Linked DNA regions of Mytilus edulis. The protein of the gene in region 1 binds, or shares a complex with, the protein of each later gene. Links are inferred from orthologs where the notes say so. Each region holds a gene or a part of one and is shown on either strand. Other genes may lie near its edges.

Region 1 (10,658 bases):
AACTATTTTATAGGGCCATTGCAATTAATCAGCTGTTCTAATATGTTTTTTGGGTTAAAAACAAGGTATTTATTTGTAATTCATATGTAAATAATACCTCATTTCCATTTCAGCATATTTTAGCCATATTGTTATGTTCCTATGGTCAACATCTAATGCTCTTTCCCAAACTGATCTGGCTCTGAAAAATTAAGTAAACAAAATTATTTTCCACATAGCAAAACTGCATTATTATAATGGTAGACTGCATTGGAGACCCATTGGTTGCTTTTGTCTGTTTTCTGCTATTTGGTCAGATTGTTGTCTTTTTTAAACTTGTTATTGTTTCCAGTGTCAATTTTATGAAATTTTATTTCCTATTGAATATATTTTAAAAATCATTTCAGATATCTTACATTCAATCAACATAGTATCACATTAACATGATGGTCAAAGGCTCCTATTCTATAAACCACATCCAGAACTTCAGCTAAGAAAGGAAAATTTACTCACACTGCTGAGAACCCTTAAGGGTATTGAAAGGTGAGTTGTCTCAGATAAAACATACTTAAAAGATGACTAGCAACTCTATTTTAATGGAAACAGTAACTATTTAAACAATAATAGCTGTCAACAAGTAATTTTTTATAATGTGAAATGGATATTTTATAAACAATACAAATGAATAGCTGAAAACACAGTTGGGAGAACACATTAAACATGTTTTGTTATTGTTGTTTTTTGTGCCCATACAAGTTGTTTCCCGAAAAGGTAAGTTTTTCAGTAGCAAGCAAAAGTGACTATAGACCTCAAAATTTTAGCTTCAATCCTGCTTACTAACTTACTTATAATGTGAACTTAAGAGAAAGCAGCAGGACCAATTTTATAGTCTTTAGTTTGATTTTGGCACAGATTCCACCAATATGTCATTTGTATGTGTACCTTACTATGCAACCATAAAGTTATTTTATTAGTTAAGATTAATTACCTTTGAACTTCTTGTTGTGAATCTTCCCACTGTGCATATTTAATCCAATTTATCATGACTGTTCTATTCTTCCTTATGTTATCCTCAGATGCCTATCATAAAAAATAATATAAGCAAGCTAAAAAAGCATACAAAGAATGTATATACATGTAATTAAAAGTCATTCAAAATAAAGATTTTATCCCTTTTTTTCAGTGAGTCATAACCCTCCTCCCTTAAAACAAACATTAATGAATTCACAGTACATGTATCAGAAATTTTCAAAAAGCATCCTGACATAGTCAACATTTTCTAAACAGCATCTTGTTTATATAGGGTAAAACTAATTTATAATTATAATTCTAAAAGAAATCTATTAGAAGGTAGAAATTTGAAATATAGGATTGGGCTCAAAAGACAAATATGCATGAAATTGCTAGAATCTCATAGTCCTTAAAGCAATCATATATAGATTTGTACTCACTTTTCTTTTCCTCATTTTATAAGCTGCTAATTCATCTGGATCTGATATCTTCTGTTTTGGAGGCTTTAATATAAAAGTTTGCTTATATCAGTATTGTTATCATGTTAATGTGACCTTTCTCAATATATTGAAAATGACTAACTAATTAAATCAAATCAAATTGATACTTGTTAAAATTCAAAAGGAGTTAACAAAAAATACCAGCTATAGCTAGAGCCATATACAAACGTAGACACGATCAAGTTATACTTTATCATTCAAGAGCATCTTTTAAATCTATTAGGTACTGAAACCAATATTGCAAAGTTTACAAAATCTCAAATCAGGTGATTTAAACAAAGGATATATTTTTTTCAACATCTGATTTAAATAAAAAGCTGTTGGTAAAATTTTAATGAAATTGAAAACTTTTAGGAACCCCTATGATTTTTTTGAATAACATAGAGTAACATACTGGAGGTACAAGCTCCAATTCCCTCTCTTTGGCCTCTCTGAGTAACTGTTCTGCAGTAATCTGGACTGGTGCTGGCATCTTGTTCTTAACCTTCAAACAAAGAGAATGAAAGTCAATATACAGTAGTTTAAAAAAAAAATTGAACTACTAATGAACATGATGAACTCAAAATCGTTAACTTTCAATTTTCAGACTTTTTTCATTTTTCCACATTTTCCCAGAAATCTCTTTTTTTCTTCTCGTTTTTTTTGTGATAACTTGTAAAATTGGAAGGAGTATCATATTGTTTCCATCTAATTTGGTGTTTGTTTGATAAGTGTTTGATATGAAAAATAAAATAATGTTACCTGATGAGTGTTTCTTTGTTTACATTGAAAATGATGTCACAACTTAAATCCCTTACAACAGGACCAACGTTGGAAAAGTTTCCATATTTCCGTTTCTGTTTTAAGAGTTTGAAAGCAAAATATGCTGGACTATTAAAAAACAAAGTATTCAGACTATGTCGTCCCCTTTTATTAAACAGGTTCTAAATTTAAAATATGAATGACTTTGTCCCCTTTCACAGGTAACATCTGTCTATAATAAGGGGACGAATTCCCCTATAACAGTAGAAAAAATAAATAAAAAAAATATATATAATTTTAATGAACTCAAAAGTGTTGACTTTTTTTCCAGATTCATTTGTCATGAGACTTCGAGTATTCCTAACAACAAAATCAACATCTGAAACGTTACGTAAAATTAAAAAAATTGATACAGACTTCGTTCCCTTTCACAGGTAATGCCTGCCTCATATTATTATATGGGGACGAAGTCCCCAATTACGGTAGAAAAATCAATAAAAAAAAAAAAAAAAATCGGGAATATTTCCAGAATTTTTCATTCTACTAATCATGCTAATGACAGTGTTGGACACAGCCAGTCGCCTGGTCGCCAATGGACCAGCACCTTGATTGGGCGATTAGAAATTGTCAAGATGAATAGTAACTGGCCCAAAAATAAATCATTGGGCGAGTGTATATCATTCTCAAAATCGTAGTTTACTCCTATAATAAACCACCTCAACTTCGGAACACCCATTTTCGGAAATCCTCTGTTCACATCGTTAAAACGTGCAAGTGCATCAAAATATCAATATAGCATTTACAAACGCATCGTGATAATGTGCTTGTTAATAGTGGGTCAAAAATAATTTTACTGACAATGATGGTCGCTAAACTATTGGTGTTTTATATAGGCTAGCGACAGTCATTGACAGTAAAACCTCATCTGACCCACTTAACCAAACAAGGGAAATGGGAATTATGAAAGGAAACCGGCAAACACGGAAACATCCAAGAAGCTGTCAAAATGTTTTTCATACGAATGTGGATAGTTAAACCCCCCAAGGACAGAAACAAGTGCATGTGGCAGTGACATAAGAAAATAATTCGCTTATAAAATATATGTAAAATGTCTTTTTATGTTGTTTTGCATTGACACTTTGGAGACCTCTGTTGAAATGACTGCATGACGGAATAGAATATCTATAGCAGAAATTCCCCGTGCTATTTTTAGATTATTTCGCATAAACTTGTTTAATTTTAAACGCAGCAGCAATATTTCCCCAGTGATAACACGAAATCACTATGCAACCGAAACGGCATTGGAACTTCGCCTCTCTCCTCTCTCTCTTGGAATGAGAAGTCACTTCTTCCTCTCCAAAATCCTAAATTAGGCACTGAACAGTGATGCTGAATTTTAGTGACAATGAAGACTACGGGAATGATTTTTTTAGGGTTATGTATCAGGAAGGTTTAATTGAGGAATTGAGAACATCTACCGTTTTTATATTGCTTTTTTGTCATTTTTTAAGGCTCAACGGGTAAAAAAAAATCGAGTAAAATAATTGGGCTACCAATATGCATTTTGGGCCTGTGAAGTTATTTTTACACTCGCCCAAAAAAAAAAATCCGGTCAGCCTTTGGCTGGCCTGACTGTCCTACACTGTAATGAACTCAATATCGTTAAATTTTTTTCAGATATACTTCCTTTTCTGGTCTGCATCTGCGCACAAATGTTTTCCAGTCGGTCTTGTTTGCATGAGACTGAATAAAATGTATATTTATCAACATATCAACAAATATAGGAAGGAATTCAACATCCAATCACTTTTAATAATTGTTGTCAGATATGAAAAAACGTTACCTGATAACAGCGTTTCTTTGTTTACATTATTATATGACGTCATAACTTAAATAACGTCACAACTAAATCCTAAACAACAGAACCAATATCGGAAACCTTACGGTATTTCCGTTTCTTTTATCAACATGATTGAATTTTAAAAATATAATAATACAGACTTCTTCTCCATTTACAGGTAATGCCTGTCTCATATTAAAAACTTAAGACAGGAGGTCCCATTTGAATTCTTGACAGTCAGAGTTTGTTTTCATACAGTTAGAGTTGTCTTTTTGCAGACAGACCAATTTTACTCCGGTCGAGTTTTCTCGCACCCATTCGGTTCTTTACCCTTCTAGATTTCCTCAAAATCATTGAAAATGTAAACTGGTTAATGCATAAAAATTGAAATGCCAAGTTGGGTCATAAATATAGGATAAACATTTTTAAAGTTTGAGAACGTCACCTTTGCCACTTTAGGCATTTTGCGTTTGCCATCTTCGTCAACTTCAAGCATCTTGTTAAATTAACATAAACAGCGCCTTTTAAATATAAAACTAACTACAAAGCAAGTGTGGACGTTCAAATATCGAAATTTTGTTTTTCCGGAAACGGAAATAGAAATGTTCGAAACTTATGACAAATATTCAGAAGAAATAAATACACTGCAGTCCCTCTTTTACTTTAAAAAATGATTGTAAATTACATTATATGATAATATATTATATGTTATTTTGTTGAAGAAATCATATTAGATATTTGTTGATATACGAAACTTTTAACGTATCGTTGCTAAGTAGCAGCTTTGCAATGGCGGTAAAGCTTTGAGATATCCAAAAAAGTGAGAATATATATTGATTATCCACACTAACTGTATGAGAAATAGGCATTTGAGTAATTCTTAGTTAAAAAATAAGACTTTAAATTGAACTAGTCCTTATATCACTTACTAATCAGGCACATTTTATGCATGTCACGCTTAAGCAAATGATAGGTTGGACATGAAATTTGGAATTATATAGCTGTTTTCTCATATGACTGCCCATGAATTTCCCTGTCAACCTCGTTTAACTCAATAAACTTCTTCAACTTGATTGAACAATAAAGTATTTTCACAAATTTTACCGATTTTGTAAGGAAACTTGACGTTTTAGTTCTTGGCAGGTTTCAGGGGATGTTGTCAACAAACAGAATTAACAGATTTTTTCCTTTACGAGTTGCAGGTTTTTTGAATAGGGGTTCTGTGTAGTCATTGATACAAGAGTTCTGTGACGAGACTTGTATTTTAATTGATTAATGACACTTTCTTTACCTTTTTGCGATTAAAAGTTCTTTTCAATTTAATTGCATATTTTTAGCTGGTACAATACGCCTTATCGCTAATCCCGGCTGACCTGGCCGCTTGAACTTTTGACGCATACAACAATCACTTTTCCACTGTGGTGTCAGATATTTTGTTTTATGACGTCAAGATTTTACGGGAACCTGTGTGATTTTCAGTAATGGCTGACAAATAGCGATAAGTTGTATCGATTCCAGTTCTGTTCGCTCTAAAGTACTATCGCGCCAATTCACATTAGCACCCTTGTTATTGATTTTATGATTAATATATTTGTAATCAAGTTTTGGTACGGTAATTATTATTTGTTGGATACCAATTTTCATTGATCATGTTGGTAAGGGAGAACCACAAAATAAAATAAAATATCATCAAACATGCCAGTTTTCCTTTATCCACAAACATTGGTTCCCATTAAATTTAATGAATCCTCAGTAAGTGTATTATTTTACATACCTGTCAACTGTCACTATTTGCGGGGGATTTCCCCCATGAAGGCTCCCAAATTGAAATTTTTCAAGAGCAATTATGTCCACAATTTTAACAAAACAATTAATTTTAAAATGAATTGAGGCTTATAAAAGTATGAAGAAGTCAAAAAACAACATTACACTGTATTTGAAGGCCCCCTTGAAGGTTTTTTAGAAGTATGGCAGCCATCTTGCACGCAAAACCCCCATGGTCATTTTGAAAACTTGGCAGGTATGTATTAATACTACAATAAATAATAATTTAAAACTTTATAAAAATGGACTACTGATCAAACACATATTACAGCATTTTTTTTCTTTCTTTCTGATTTTGCAAAAAGGGTTGTTGGCATTTATGCTACAGTCATCACAGTATTAATTTATACATTTTTGATTTAATTTGTTTCTAGAATTTGCATAAATTGGAAAACATGGCAACAATTACACCTGTGGATGGTCCCCCAGAGGTTGTAAATGCTAGAAGAACAGAATCGCTAGATGCACCACACATTATCAAGCTCGTGAACAGTTCAACTGACCAATTGTTTGGAAGAGTTAATGTTGTCAACTTAATGTAAGTCATAACAATCAGTTTGAAATAAGTCTAGAGATTGTTATGCATATAGTCAACAGTACCAAACATTGTATTTTACATATATGACATTATTAATTTCAAATACAAGAAAACCTGATTTAACATCCAAAATTGAAAAAATACACAACAAAATTGACCCTTTTTAATTATTGCCACAGCATGAAATATTTTTATATCTTACATGTATCTGACTGGTCATGGAGGTTCTATTGCATGGGAAAAAAACCACAGGATGTCTGTTATCATGTATTTGTTTTTGTTCAAAGACAAAAAGTCAGAAATATTACTGAAAGATATAAAAAGTCAGAAATATTTACCTAATGCTACATATACCATGTTACAATGTATTAAAAATATAACAGTACAAATATAGTATACAGAAAACCAAAATCTGGATTAAATTTTTTGAGTATTCTGTAAACAAAAAAAATATTTAATTGCATTTTGTGTATTTTGATTCTAAACTTTTCCAATTTATTGATTTTATCCTTGTTCATTAATTCACAGAGAGAAAGCTGTGTTAGCGGTCACTCTATGTAACGACAAAGAAGAAATCCTTGGCCATGCTGCATTCTTTGATTATCCCAACATTGAAGGTGTTGATCCATCAACATGGGAGGAGTGGTTCCACAAGATGTTTGATACTCCAAAAACATCAGCTCTAAATTCCTTGTACATGCATTATTTTGTTGCAAAGAAAGAATATGCCAGTGGTTGTGCAAGGGAGATAATCCGTACTGCATTTAATGCCGTTCCTGACTTACATTATTTATTCCTGAATGTACCAATGAAAGCTTATCCTGGTATGTTATTTAATAAAATACTGTGTCACAATGTCAGGGTTTACAAATTTTCATGGAGTACTTATTTTCATGCATTTACTAGATAGAAGATGTGAGACACTTATCAAAAATAAATTCTGTATGCTTGTATGCAGAATTGATTCAAACTTTAAAAACAAGTATCCACCAAAATACAATTTTTTTGCCCCATTTATGGGCATTATGTTTTCTGGTCTGTGCGTTTGTCTGTTCCTTCGTCAGTTCATTCTTCCATCTGTCCTGCTTCAGATTAAAGTTTTTGGTCGAGGTAGTTTTTTGGTGAAGTTGAAGTTCAATCCACTTGAAACTTAGTACACATGTTCCATATGATATGATCTTTCAAATTTTAATGTCAAATTGGAGATTTTTTCCCATTTTCACAGTCCACTGAACATAAAAAAAATGATAGTGTGGATGCGGCATTCATGTACTGGGGACGCATTCTTGTTCTTTAATCATTGGAACTGATATGTAGCCTCTTGATGTCCATGGAAATAATACTTGATGTGAATTTTGATATTTTTTATCACTTAATGGTGCATCTAAATATTGCATTCTTCTTGAATTTATCTTTCAGCTACAAATTGATTATTTGTCTAAAAAGGTTTAAAAAAAAAATTGTATAAATATTTCATCTTGCCCAAGTTTGATTTTGATAGCTATCGGATTCTGTTTGAGGGACTTTATCATGAAAACAGTGAATTACAATTAAAGAACATGTACATGTTCTTTAATCTCTCTTTTAATTCAATTTAAGAGTCATTGATTGAATTCAACATAGGTAACAATAAATTTCAGGATAGTTATTCAATACTCTTTCAATAGTGAATCTACAATTAATTTGGTGTAATATCATGTTTTCACCTCTATTCTATTGCAGATGCTTCACTTGACGGTGTATTCCAGCAGTTACCTAAAAGAGAGGGTGTTAGCAGTACACAAGGAGCACTGTTTGCTTGCTACAGACATAACCATGTTCCTGTTCTACATGTCAGAAAGGCAACGTATGTAGTAGAAATCATGTTGTCGGGGGATGATATTTTCATTTTGTAAAAAAATAGTTAGATATTATTGGGTCAGTTTTATTTGTCTTCTATTGTTTTTGTCCTAAACAAGTCTTATTAATTCTAAACACTACCTTTTACAGTGTGATTGAAATAGAAACAGTCATATTGTTACGGGACGGGGGTGTCCCAAAAGTAAAGGTATTTATATGAGGTTATAACCCTGGTTACTATATTCTTGGTAAATTCTGATATAGATCTGTCCACTCTGGTGTCGAGTTACAAACTAAGTTATACTGGTAGCGTAGCTGGTAAAATGGTCAAGACTATGGTAGCGTAGCAGGCAAAACAGTTAAGGCACTGGTCTAAATATGGTAGCCGCACAGAAACTCATTAACATTGACTTACTAATTACATGTACAACAGATAACATGTCAAGATTAATAAAGCTTCACAATTTATTATATACAAAACATTCAATACTATTCCAAGTATAAATCACATGAAAACCCAACAGAACAGTTTATAAAATATACAGAGACCCCCCTTTTCGGTACGTTAATCGTTTGTCAACATCGTAGTAAACGCAGTAAAACATCTAGGTCACTTATGGTTTGGTCCATTTATCCAACGGGGATGCAAAGGTACATGTATTGCATCGACTGCGGCACTTTTGGTTTGCTTTGCCTTTGGTAAGTTTCCTTGGTATCAGGAGTGACTGCCCTGGTAGCGGGCCGCAGTCTATCTGAAGACTTTTGTGCACTTGCTTTTATATCTCTGCCCCACCAACGTCACGTGCCCCTATGGATATGGTGGGCAAATTACGCTATGCTGATTGGATGCTGATCTTAGGTCATTAGGTCACTGACGTCAATAAACATAGTGATGCAAATGGCGGCGATCGGAATGTTGACATTCTGTCGAGTGGGGAAATGGACAAACGGGACCTATCTAAGCTTACTCTTAGCATGTATGGGCCCCGGTTTCAATATATATGCCTAACGCTAATAAAATAACAAGGTAATAAAGCAGGAACGTGTGAAATAGGAGTAAACAGAAGGTTGGAACATTCATTCAGTCGGGGGACCCCCCGTGGTCAAACAGTGAAGACGAACTCTATAGTATTATTCCCAGAGACCTGACTAACAATATTTACATACAATAACAATAAAAGTATACACAATGTTCATCAAATGTCTTTATATAAGCGTTGGCTAACAGTAAACGACGAACGCGAAAATAGAATAGAGTGTTTACGGAGTAGCCTGAAACAGTTGTATCTACAAACCTACAGCTTATACCCTAAACCGTAACAATATAACCATTAATTTAAATTTCACTTAATAGTGTATGTAAAAATCATTTCTGTCAAAACATTTTTTAAACAGATTTTCCTACTTTTTAGATTAATTAATTTTAAACTTTTATATTCTCTGATTTAAATATTGACTTTTACAGAGTTGAAGACCATGATGACTTGACACCCATCTTCAATCGTCATAGTGATATGCTGAAGATGGCTTATGGTGATTTCTTCCTTGCTGAATTGATTGAAGCACAAGATGACCATATGCAGTGTTTAGTAGCAGAGGTATAAAAAAAAATCAATTTCTAAATAATTTTTGTTTCATATTTAAACAGTACCATTCCAGTACATGTTATAATTCAAATTGATATATATTTGTTAGAAATAGTTAATGGGAATTTTTATTAATATTCTCAGGCTGATTGTAAAACAGACATCATAAAATTACTATTACAGATTGTAAAATCTTGCTCTTCTGTTGGAAAGAAATAACAAAATTTGCTTCAATTCAAACTTTTTAAAAAATATTTTGATTTTGTTAAAAATTATTATGTCAAATGTGTTTTCTGCTCTTTCTGTTAGCACAAAAGGGAATATTTATAATAAAATTAACATTCCAAAGATTGTTGTGAAAGTCATAGAAAATTATCAGAACCTGTACAATGTGAAGCTAAGTTTAAGTAGGTTTTCTGTTATAGAAAAGCTCATACAAATGTATTTTTGACAGGTTGAAGGAACAGCAGTTGGATTCATGAGTATAAGCAATGATGTCAACACAGATATGTTAAATGAATGTTTTGAGTTAGGATCTTTCCATGGTTTGAAGAAACCACATCAAGATGATGATCTGGTTCCACCAAAAACCCCAACACCAAGTCCACCTCCAGGTTTGTGTTAAAATGAATATTATTGCTATTTATGAAAATCATTTTATCTTACTGATAATTTCCTTTCTCAGCGCAGTAGATCTAGATTGATATGAAAAAATTATTGCTAGAAACTAAGGGCCCAATGCTGTTGTCAATGAAAGTAACAACGCCATGATAGTTAAAATAGCAATCAAATGGTCATCA
Region 2 (11,647 bases), on another chromosome or scaffold:
CTAATAAGATAAAAATAATGTCAGCTCCTCCACCATTCTAGCTTTGTGTTGGCAGGGACAATTGTTAGTATGTCTAATGAAAGATTTTTTGTCTATTGGAAAAAATATCAAGTTGGAAACAAAGTCTGTACTTTGAAAAATGAACTTTTTGCAAACATCTGAAGGAGACATGAGTACATATACTTAATTTAGTTGTGCAGTTGCCATTCTTATATGACATTGATAAAAGGTAAGTTAGGGAAACTGGTTCCTTATTCTCTTATTCCTTCTATCTATGTTTTGTCTATTTAAAGCATTGGTTTCAGTATTTTAAATTATTTACCTGTGCTTTATTAATTTTTGGTGGATATAATGGTCTGTCAGTACCGTCTGTTTCACAATCATTTAGTTTAATCATGTTATATACAGTATTACCAGTAACCTATAAATGACAGAAATAAATAAATTTAAATGCTATCTATAAAAATTTAAGATGACTTATCTGCAATACACAGATACTATACCATTAAAGGACTATTGTAAAAAGCTAAATCTCTAGGATGTAAATACTAAACTAAAAAAGAACAAGCCATAGTGATCATATTTTTGTATATCAAGCATCTTGGTTACTACTACAGATATTAATTACAAAAAACTATAGATCTAGATGTTTAGATGATGTTTTATTCCATGCCATATTATGTTCTGCATTGTATCAAACAAACTAATTTTAAATTTGTATTGGTCTAGCTCCTTGTTGTAAGTCCAAAGAATGGCATGTAACTAATCTAGACATTTTATTCTGAATCTAAGTCAATTTTAATATGAAATGATATGTGTTTAGTGAAGAAGGCAAATAATATTGCTATAGTCCTTGATTTGAACCAACTTAGATAATTCCTACAATTTCCTGTACTAGAGAATAACATGTTACTATAGACCATTGAAGTGTTAATTAATAATCATGACTCTTTAATGTTTTTAATTTTAAGATAAACTATTTGTAGTTTTGTCAGTGGCAATATCTTTGCTGTAAAGCTATTTGTTTATATCTGCATGCTTTTTTTGTTCTCTTCATTAAAAAGAAATAATATGTCAAAATTAGATGCATTCAATGAGTTAGAATAAGAAAATTGAAAATTATTTATAATATCTTTAGACTTTAGAAGCATTTTCTCTTCTTCTGACAATGATCTGTTTTAACACATCAACTGGAAATATAACCCCAATAAACTAAGGCTTGCGTACACATATAATTCATAATTGTGTATTTTAAGAACTTTTATTGACAACCCAAAACAGAAACTACATGTATAATAAATCTTACTTTTCCAAAAATGGTGTGTTTACTTTGCAGCTCTGGTGTTTTGTCCAAAGTGAAAAAGAACTGACTACCATTGTCATTCGGCCCTGCATTTGCCATGGCAACCAGTCCTCTTCTAACAAAACGAAGTCTTGAATGAATTTCATCCTGAAACAAATCAAAAGTCATTATTGATTACAAAACAGTTGGCAAGTGTTAGATTATATGTTTTATATTGTTTCCTTATGATGTTTATTGTGACATGAAACATATTAATATCATGAAACATGTACGATGTAAGTTTTTAATTTAGTTGATTACTGAAACAATCTTAAGGAAACAAAGTCAACATACATGTATGTAACATGTTGAAAACGCCTTTTGATTATCATGATTATATTCTTTTAATACACAAAATCTTGCAAATAAAACTTAAAGTTGATGATGTTTGTAAATTCATCAGTATTTGTACACCATTATAATTTATATTAAAAACCTAATCTATAATTATGTGTTTTTTTGTTTTTTTTAAATTTTAAAGCATCTATATCAAACACATTCTCTATTTGACAATAAACAAATGAAATAATCAGTTTTATAGGGAATCACTGAAGCATGACTGGACCAGCCCCCCCCCCCCTTTTTAGGTCAGTCAACAGGCCCTCCCTTACAAAAAGTTCTGGATCTGCCACTGATTTATACGAAAAACATTATCTATTATGTGTTGTTTTTTTTAATTTTAAAGCATCTATATACCAAACACATTCTCTATTTGACAATAAACAAACGAAATAATCAGTTTTTATTCAATATATATATGTAAAACTGACTGAAGATGTAAAACACTTTACCTTAAATGGATGACCATAAATAGATTCACCACCATCTCCAGTGCCTGATGGGTCCCCTCCTTGTGCAATGAAATCCTTGATAATGCGATGGAAAATTGTATCCTCATAATATCCCTCCATACACAACTGAACAAAGTTTCGACATGCTTTAGGGGCTTCCTTCGACCATAATTCTATGTCAATGTCTCCTACACTTGTATCTAATAGAACCTACAAATAGATTTAACATAATACAGATGGTCATGTTCATGTGAATCAAGTTGAAACAGATTAAACATTGAGACTCTCAACTAGGCAAGCTTTTCTACATTGTTTGAACATAAAATTATATGAGGCTTCACATACAAGTACATGTACATGTAATATAGTCTAATAACCTTCTTTTTTATATCTACTTATCTCAAAGAACAAGGTTTGTGCTCCTTCTTTTATCACAATTCTTAGATGAGATATACTTCTGATTAAACCTAATTTCATTAACTAATGTTTTCTTTTTCTCAGCTACATTATATTCACTAGCTCAAGTAGTTATGCGCTAAGTAACAGATGAAAATATATTTTCAATACTTGAATGGAATGGAAAAGTTTTATTATAAAACATATGATATGTGCATAAACTTTCTTGTAAATGAACATCCTAATCTTCATACATGTACATGTCATAGCTAACTGCTATTTATTTATTGTCGTGTTCCAATACTCAAATTTGATTACAGCTTTTCTGTATGGAGTGACCTTAACCATGAGCCGTTTATATTAACTTCTACAACCAATGAGCACAAGTGTGATGGAAAAACCTGCACTGACAGAAATCGTTTATTGCATGATATCATTATAATGTCATTAATGATTGTTCAAGTGTACCAAGTTGTTTATTCAATAATGAAAAAGTATTTTCAATTCTTTTTACACTAGAGACATTTTTATCTTGTTGTTGTTCAAATGAAACAAGTCAAAGGTATTTGCTGTTAGAAATCAAATTTTTCCAGGAAAAAGAACCTCTTATTATGCTATCAGGTAGGATAATTAGAAATAAATATTAACAAATAGAATATCTCCATTTTGAAGATCATGTATTGGTACATTCTAAAATTTTGAATTAATGAGAACCGATTTAAAAACAAAAGTTGGAATATGCTACAGGTGTCGCCACTCTTAAAAAAATATTTGTAAATTTGAATCTGTCCAAAGAAAGACCACTTAACTCGTCAAGAACATAAATCATTTAAGTTTTGAAGATAGGTTACGTTCATTGAGCTTATTTACTTAATCACCATCTTATTATAATGTTACAAAATGTATACGAAAGGTCACTCCTTAAAAAACTTTTTAAGAAACATTGTAAGACAACACATACTGACATAGACTAAATACTTTTTCAATTAGAGTAGTGGATCAGTGGAATAACCGGTCTGATTTAACAGTGACGGCAAAGACCTTGAATAATTTTAAGTCAGTTAAATGGCAAAAATTGGAACCTGTATCAATTTATATGTTCCTGTCAATTGTTAACCCTCTTACTGCCAGTTGTTTTTCAAGGTTGCATTTCATGTGCCAGAAAATACGACCGCTGGATGTTTGTGACCTCAGATGTCCAAACACGACGTCATCTGATACAAAATGTATATGACATCACGACAAGATGACCGTTACATTCAGGTCCCATTGAAATTTGAAGACAAATATAACCTTGTCAAATATTTGATCTTTTATTTGAAAAAGATACAACAATGAGGAGAAGCTTGCATAAATTAAAACATGGACACCTAAATAAATTTTATTTTTTTTATAATACATGTATATATAAAACCTGCCAAGTCTCACGCATGTGTGTGCTTTTTTTTTTGGCATTTTCTTTTGATCTACATGTATTGTTTTTTCTCTTTGATCTTTTCAATTTTGACAAAATCTTACACATTTGCTTCACGAAAAGTTGGCAGAACTGTAAAACTATTCTAATTTTTCTCCTTGTCATTATGCAATTATTATACAATGAGAAATTGCATTATGACCATGATGACAAAATTTTTAAAAACTTTAAAAGGCAACCAGAGGAAGCAAGTAAATATCTTGGAGTAACCATCAGTAACAACCTAACATGGGATAAACACATAGACAATACAGTAGGCAAAGGAAACAGAACTTTGGGGTTTATACGTAGAAACCTCAAAGGCTGTACAAAACCTGTAAAGGCAGCTGCATATGTGTCCATGGTAAGACCTGCAGTGGAATATGCAAGCACAGTATGGGACCCAACCGCTCAAAATAAAATCAAGGCAATTGAACAGGTTCAGAAAAGAGCTGCACGAATTTGTGAATAACAACTACACAGACCGAACACCTGGCTGTGTCACAAATATGGTTAAAAATCTAAAGTGGGAAAGCCTCGAAGAACGGAGGAAAACAAATAGATTGTGCATGCTATTCAAGATCCAGCATGAACTTATAGATATAGACCGTCACAAATATTTGACACCGAATGATAACCGGACCAGAGGTAAAAACCGCTTCTTCCAAGAAAGAACAAGTACAGACACCTACGGCCAATCTTTCTTCCCGAGGACAATCAGGGACTGGAACAACCTACCAACGACAGTTACAGCGACCAACACCGTTGAGGGATTCAGAGCTGCCCTGAAGGCATGCTCTGAAAGGAAGTAGGAAAACCAGTTGTAAATAATTTTAATTGTATATTTTTCTGCGAACGTTTTAAATGTAATTTGTAAATAGCCAAGAGAAATCTTTCTGTGTTGCCCGACACTGCGTAAAGTTTTCGTGCGGAACCATTAACATTCAGCAATGAATCTGGTTCCTTACCTGGAAGAAGAAGAAGAACCTCAATCAAGCATGCACCAGAATGTAATCTTCAAAATGTTGATGGTTTTCTGTAACTAAAGAAGAAGGAGAAGAAGAAGAAGACATTCCAAGATGAGGTGTCAGTAAAATTCATTGGCTTAAAATATACAGATAGAAAGATAGTAAAACAGCTGTTGTTATTGATATTGTCAACTGTCTGCTGGAGTTATAATATAGCAAGACTGTTTACTTTTTTTTTAAACAGCAAAGTAAAACACTAATTTTCTACCTTTCCGCTCGTAGGCGGTTCTTGTATATAAATATTGCTCATAGCCTGTCAAACAAAAACAAACTAGACCATTAATTTGAAATGTCAATGGGCGCAGCCATTTTGTTTAGGTCTAACTAAAAGATAAAATAGTAAATGATGTATTTGTATAATAAACTAAGAATTTCATATTCAAATTCATAATATTCATTATATTTGATTATTTATGGGATTTTTTAAACAGAATGTAATTTCGTAATAATCATGGAAAGTTAATGTTGATTTTCTTTTAGTTTTGACTTGAATGATACCAGATTATCTCCCTTAGGTACCTAACCAAAAAATTTAGACCATTCCGCAGTTTTACGATTTATGACACAATGCAAGGTAAACAAAGAAAGACAAATTTGATACAACTTGTTCATGACAGGAATCAAATAATAAACTGGATTGAATCATTTTTGTCAAACAGAACACAAACAAAAACAGTAGTCAGTACTTTTAGAAAGAGTCATCTTTAAAAATTATACCAGTCACATGATCAGGTGTCACACTGGGTACAGTGCTAGGACCAATACTATTCTAATTTACATAAACGACCTCCCAAAATACATCCAACATAGTAAAATCCGACTCTTCGCAGATGACAGTAATAATGAGTATATGAATAGGTAGTGTATGTACGTACCTGCATGTGAGGTATGCGTAGCCAAATTGGCCTTTGTAGGCTACGGCTACGCACACCCGCCTCCAGTTTTATAATTTAATGTCATCGGATCAGGAATAAATTGTAAAATTAACTCAGAAAACATCGCAATAAGTGAGAGAATAAATTGATTACTCACAGAGATTTTAAGATTTGAAATGTCAATATATATGAAAAAAAAAGTTCTACGCCTATTATTATTTTACGACGTACCGTGATACACTTTCGTAAAAATATGCATTTATATTTGATTTCTATTTTTCTAACTAATACATTAAAAACAATTTAAAAAATATTATTTGCTATTATCTTCACAGAATTCACAAAATCAGAAAAATAACCAATAATTTTTGTGTATCTTTCACGTTGCTTTCCCAATCATATGACACTTTCTTATAAAATCGGTTGCGGGTACACATAGCCTAAAAAGGCCAATTTGGCTAAGTGTATCCGTATGCAGGTACTCGCAGACAGGCGCAGACACTGCCATATATAAATAAAACATTGGACGATAGAGCAGATTGGGATACAACTAAAAGTTAAATCAGCACCCACAGAAAAAGTCAAATTGGCACCTTGTTAAATCGACATCTGGTTAAAAATAGGCACCCATTTAAAGTCAATTTGGCATCCAATGACAGATTGTTACCAAAGAATACAGTGTCAATCACTACCAAGCCAAGATTGACAATGCTTTTTTGAGGGTTACCAATCTGCTCTATCATCCTCTCACTATGTGTTACATGTATTTAATTTATTATGCTTAAGTTAATGTCCTATCATTATTGTCTAACAGATGAATTTTATTTAAAAGTATTTTCTAATCCATGAGGTCACATACATTATAACAACTTTGCGGGTATTTGAAAAATCATCAAAAGTGAAGCAAGATATTTTTTTTTTATTATAAAATAATGATATAATCTATCGACAAATAAAATCTCTATTAACATGTTGAAAGAAGTCCCTTCGGGTTTTCAATAATAAATAGCAGGCAAGATATTCCAATCTTTTAGGTCTTATTATTTGATTTTAATCTTTGACTGACATGACTGATGCCTTATCAACATTATTTTTTTTAAAACTTTTAGGCATAGGCAGCAAATACACCAATAAAAATGATGGACTTAAACCAGCCTGTAAAAAATGTGGATATGGTATGTATAGCAGATTGTATTGTATTTAATACTGAAGAGTCTTTATATGGGATACCAAATTTTATGGAATTTGTGGGTAAATGCAAGGATTTGTAAACTAATCCTTGGTATTGGTAAAACAAACTTTTTCATGTTTAACAAAGTACAAATATTCTAAAGGCTTGTAATAAGACATTGCAAAAACCTTGAAATCAAATACCACTATATATTATTTTTACTATAGTATCAACAAAAATAAATAAATTCACAGTATTCAGCTGTGTACCATTTAACAGCATAGGCAAGTTACTATATCTTTTAAAACTTCATGATAATCATGAAATAATGTAGTTTGTTTATTGCTATATACATTCCTCACTTGCATGATCTTTGTTTTTAATTTGTCACACTGCTCCCACTTGCGACATCTCAATTCACAAGTCTTTAATTGACAATGTGGATTGTTCTGGTTTATTTTTTATGCCCCACCTACGATAGTAGAGGGGCATTATGTTTTCTGGTCTGTGTGTCCGTCCGTCTGTCCCGCTTCAGGTTAAAGTTTTTGGTCAAGGTAGTTTTTGATGAAGTTTAAGTCCAATCGACTTCAAACTTAGTACACATGTCCCCTATGATATGATCTTTCTAATTTTAATGCCAAATTAGAGTTTTTACCCCAATTTCACGGTCCACTGAACATGGAAAATGATAGTGCGAGTGGGGCTTTCGTGGACTGAGGACACATTCTTGTTTTAAAATATTCAGGCATTATTTAATTTTTATTAAAATTGAATGATTTTTTTTTTATCTAAATAACTGTCTACTTACTTCTATTGAGCTATTATATAGAAAAAATAGTTAATTGAGCAGTTGAGACATTATAGCATTCTTATTTCCGTATCATAAGACGTGCAGTGTAATGGAAATCTTTTACCAGCCATGACTATTTCATTCCTATTCCTTTAAGTATAATTATGTTTTCTTTTTATGCCTCAACCGTAGGCAACATGGGCATTAATTGTTACCCTTGACTATCCCTCTGTCCATCTGTCAGTCCTTTTGTCTGACCCATTTTTGTTTTACCACTCTTGGTTATGTTTTCCTCATCCAAACTTTCTGAAAGTCATACATGGTGCTAAAAACCAAAAGTGGCAGACAGAGATCAAATTTGATCACAGAGTCATTTACAGTTAGTTATGCCCTTTTATAAGTATAACTTGGAAATGCAAGTCTGTTCATGTTCGCACTCTAACTTAAGTTTGCCTCATCCAAATTTTAAGAAAATCATTGGTAGTCCAGTCAATCTAGCATACATAAGTTTTAATCTTTAGCATTATACCCCAAATATACACAGAAAAAAGTCCTATAAAATATAACTTGTGGAAAACTAAAAAATCATGATTTTAAAATTCCTATGGAGATTTGCGTTCATATGGGAGATAACTCTGCAAAAATGCAGAAATATCAATAAAGATTGATAAAAAGTTATAACTTTACCGCTTCTATTCAACAGAATGTATTGATTCTTGATATTTGAGTCATCTTTAGAGTATAACAAAGAACTCTTAAGGTATTATCATATCTTTTATCAAGCTAGAACCTAGACTTCATAATTAAATAGTTGACCATTTATTAGATTTTTCAGCATGTTAAGGTAAAGAATCTCAAATTGAATAATAAAACTAATTAAGCATATATTCCTCTTTTTGTGGTTTAAAGTTTCTATGAACAAGGTAGATGCTGAACAAATATAATTTACAGATAGAAATAATACCAAATATTCATTTTTTCAAAATGGTCACTAGGCCATAAATTTGCAATTTTTTTAATGAAAATGTGCAAAAAGAATTAAAAAAATATGCATAGCACTTCGGTTTTGTACATTTCATGAGCAGAAGATTATATAATATAGTCAAATACGAAGTTATAACTCCATCAAAGTATCATATATTACATGAATTTTAAGAAAATCAAACAAAAACTGACATAAAAGTCTCATTTTTGCTGAGTTATCTCCCTTTCCAATGTTAATTTCTATAAGAAATTAAAAATGCAAAATTTGAGTTTTCCTCAAATTAGATTTTATGGGACTTCTTTCTGTATATATTTGGGGCTAAATGCTATAGATTAGAATTAAAGCATTTTCTGTTGCAATTAGTTTGAGGTTCAAACTTAGTTTGACTGGACTAAAGGTATTGCTGATCATTGCTGAAAACCACAACACGCAGAGTTTAAATTCTGGCAATATTTCATTAACCTTTCTAGAGTTATACCCCTTTATACTTTGGAAAATTGTAAATATTTTAATTTACTCACTCTAGGTAAGTTTTTATTTAACATGCAGACTAAGTTCTAATTTGGGCAGTGAGTCATTAAACGTTTTGATAATTGAAAATTGCAAAGCTTGAGCAAGGGCATTCATGTCCTTAGAATGCTTAGACAAAATTTCTTATTTTATTTTCATTATGTTTTTTAGCTGGACATCTAACATTTCAGTGTCGTAACTTTGTGAAGGCAGATCCTGGTAAAGATATTGTTTTAGATGTCAGTAGTACTAGCTCAGATTCCTCAGAAGATGATTTTATTTCACCACTCAGTCAGTTTCAACAAGGTTTGTTCATCTGTTTATTTTTTGTCACTGAGTTATATTTTGAGGAGATCTTGTCGCTAATGCATTGTAATACATGTATATGATCAGCTATAACTCATTTATTTATAACTTAATGGCATTCAATTATAAAAGTTTAATAACAAATCTATTGAGTTAGTGAACAATAAGGAGTGTATGACATGTACATGTATGAGGTGTTTAAAGTTTTTTACCAGACAAAATTTGTCACTCAGATCTAGATTTACAGTTACATATACATTATCTCAGTTTAAATTGTGTTCTTATTTTCAATTATTTGATGTCTGTTACAAAATGTATTTAATTGGATATAATGAATCAGCTTTGATTAACTCTGAAATGCTGTATCAGTTCAAGCTTTCCCAGGTAACCATGTTATTATATTATTTAGTTATCATTTATGGGAAGTTAACTGACTTACAATTATATGAAAGATAGATCCATGTGGTTTTTATACGACCGCAAAAATTTTAATTTTTTGGTCGTATATTGCTATCACGTTGGCGTCGTCGTCGTCGTCGTCCGAATACCTTTAGTTTTCGCACTCTAACTTAAGTAAAAGTGAATAGAAATCAATGAAATTTTATAACAAGGTTTATGACCACAAAAGGAAGGTTTGGATTGATTTTGGGAGTTTTTGTCCCAATATTTTAGGAATTAGGGGCCAAAAAGGGCCCAAATAAGCATTTTCTTGGTTTTCGCACTATAACTTTAGTTTAAGTGAATAGAAATCTATGAAATTTTGACACAAGGTTTATGACCACAAAAGGACGGTTGGGATTGATTTTGGGAGTTTTGGTTTCAACAGTTTAGGAATTAAGGGCCAAAAAAGGGCCCAAATAAGCATTATTCTTGGTTTTCGCACAATAACTTTAGTATAAGTAAATAGAAATCAATGAAATTTAAACACAAGGTTTATGACCACAAAAGGAAGGTTGGGATTGATTTTGGGAGTTTTGGTCCCAACAGTTTAGGAATAAGGGGCCCAAAGGGTCCAAAATTGAACTTTGTGTGATTTCATCAAAAATTGAATAATTGGGGTTCTTTGATATGCTGAATCTAACTATGTATGTATATTCTTAATTTTTGGTCCCGTTTTCAAATTGGTCTACATTAAGGTCCAAAGGGTCCAAAATTAAACTTAGTTTGATTTTAACCAAAAATTGAATCTTTGGGTTTCTTTGATATGCTGAATTTAAAAATGTACTTAGATTTTTAATTATTGGCCTAGTTTTCAAGTTGGTCCAAAATTAAACTTTGTTTGATTTCATCAAAAATTGAATAAATGGGTTCTTTGATATGCCAAATCTAACTGTGTATGTAGATTCTTAATTTTTGGTCCAGTTTTCAAATTGTTCTACATTAAGGTCCAAAGGGTCCAAAATTAAACTAAGTTTGATTTTAACAAAAATTAAATTCTTGGGCTTATTTGATATGCTTTATCTAAACATGTACTTTGATTTTTGATTATGGGCCCAGTTTTCAAGTTGGTCCAAATCAGGATTCCATATCAAGTATTGTGCAATAGCAAGAAATTTTCAATTGCACAGTATTGCACAATAGCAAGAAATATCTAATTGCACAATATTGTGCAATAGCAATTAATTTTCAATTGGAGTTATCTTTTTTTGTATAGAATAGTAGTTGATAATATATGTTGGAAATTTGCCAGACATGACTATGATGTCATTTTCTATTTTTATTTGCCAATAACTTTATGTAAATAACTTCATTGGAAATTTGCCAATATAAAATGTTGCTGATGAAGCTTTTTTTCCTTATCTTATCTAAAATGTTTTTAGATAATGTATGTTGGACATTTGCCAGACATGACTATGATGTCATTTTCTATTTTTATTTGCCAATAACTTTATGTAAATAACTTCATTGGAAATTTGCCAATATTAAATGTTGCTGATGAAGTTTTTTTTATTGTTTTATACAATAAACAATGTATATTCACTTTTACTACCAACCAATCT

The links.
Region 2: crooked neck-like protein 1 (region 1) and spliceosome-associated protein CWC27 homolog share a complex: the UniProt entries of both Homo sapiens proteins name them as parts of the minor spliceosome. The link is inferred for Mytilus edulis from reciprocal best matches to the Homo sapiens genes CRNKL1 and CWC27.

What each region holds. Positions count from the first base shown.
Region 1 is NC_092346.1:35,665,193-35,675,850, forward strand, and holds the start of crooked neck-like protein 1, read right to left. Parts: upstream 4,673-10,658; 5' UTR 4,568-4,672; coding exon 4,517-4,567; intron 1,975-4,516; coding exon 1,885-1,974; intron 1,494-1,884; coding exon 1,431-1,493; intron 1,060-1,430; coding exon 968-1,059; intron 182-967; coding exon 98-181; intron 1-97. Other genes in the region: cilia- and flagella-associated protein 61-like, read left to right, coding at 6,291-6,433, 6,962-7,257, 8,156-8,279, 9,738-9,870, 10,313-10,472. UniProt on the Homo sapiens protein: Involved in pre-mRNA splicing process. As a component of the minor spliceosome, involved in the splicing of U12-type introns in pre-mRNAs.
Region 2 is NC_092344.1:100,217,829-100,229,475, reverse strand, and holds the start of spliceosome-associated protein CWC27 homolog, read right to left. Parts: upstream 5,348-11,647; 5' UTR 5,261-5,347; coding exon 5,219-5,260; intron 2,344-5,218; coding exon 2,134-2,343; intron 1,451-2,133; coding exon 1,307-1,450; intron 422-1,306; coding exon 323-421; intron 1-322. Other genes in the region: protein SREK1IP1-like, read left to right, coding at 5,578-5,584, 6,995-7,060, 9,513-9,647. UniProt on the Homo sapiens protein: As part of the spliceosome, plays a role in pre-mRNA splicing. Probable inactive PPIase with no peptidyl-prolyl cis-trans isomerase activity. As a component of the minor spliceosome, involved in the splicing of U12-type introns in pre-mRNAs.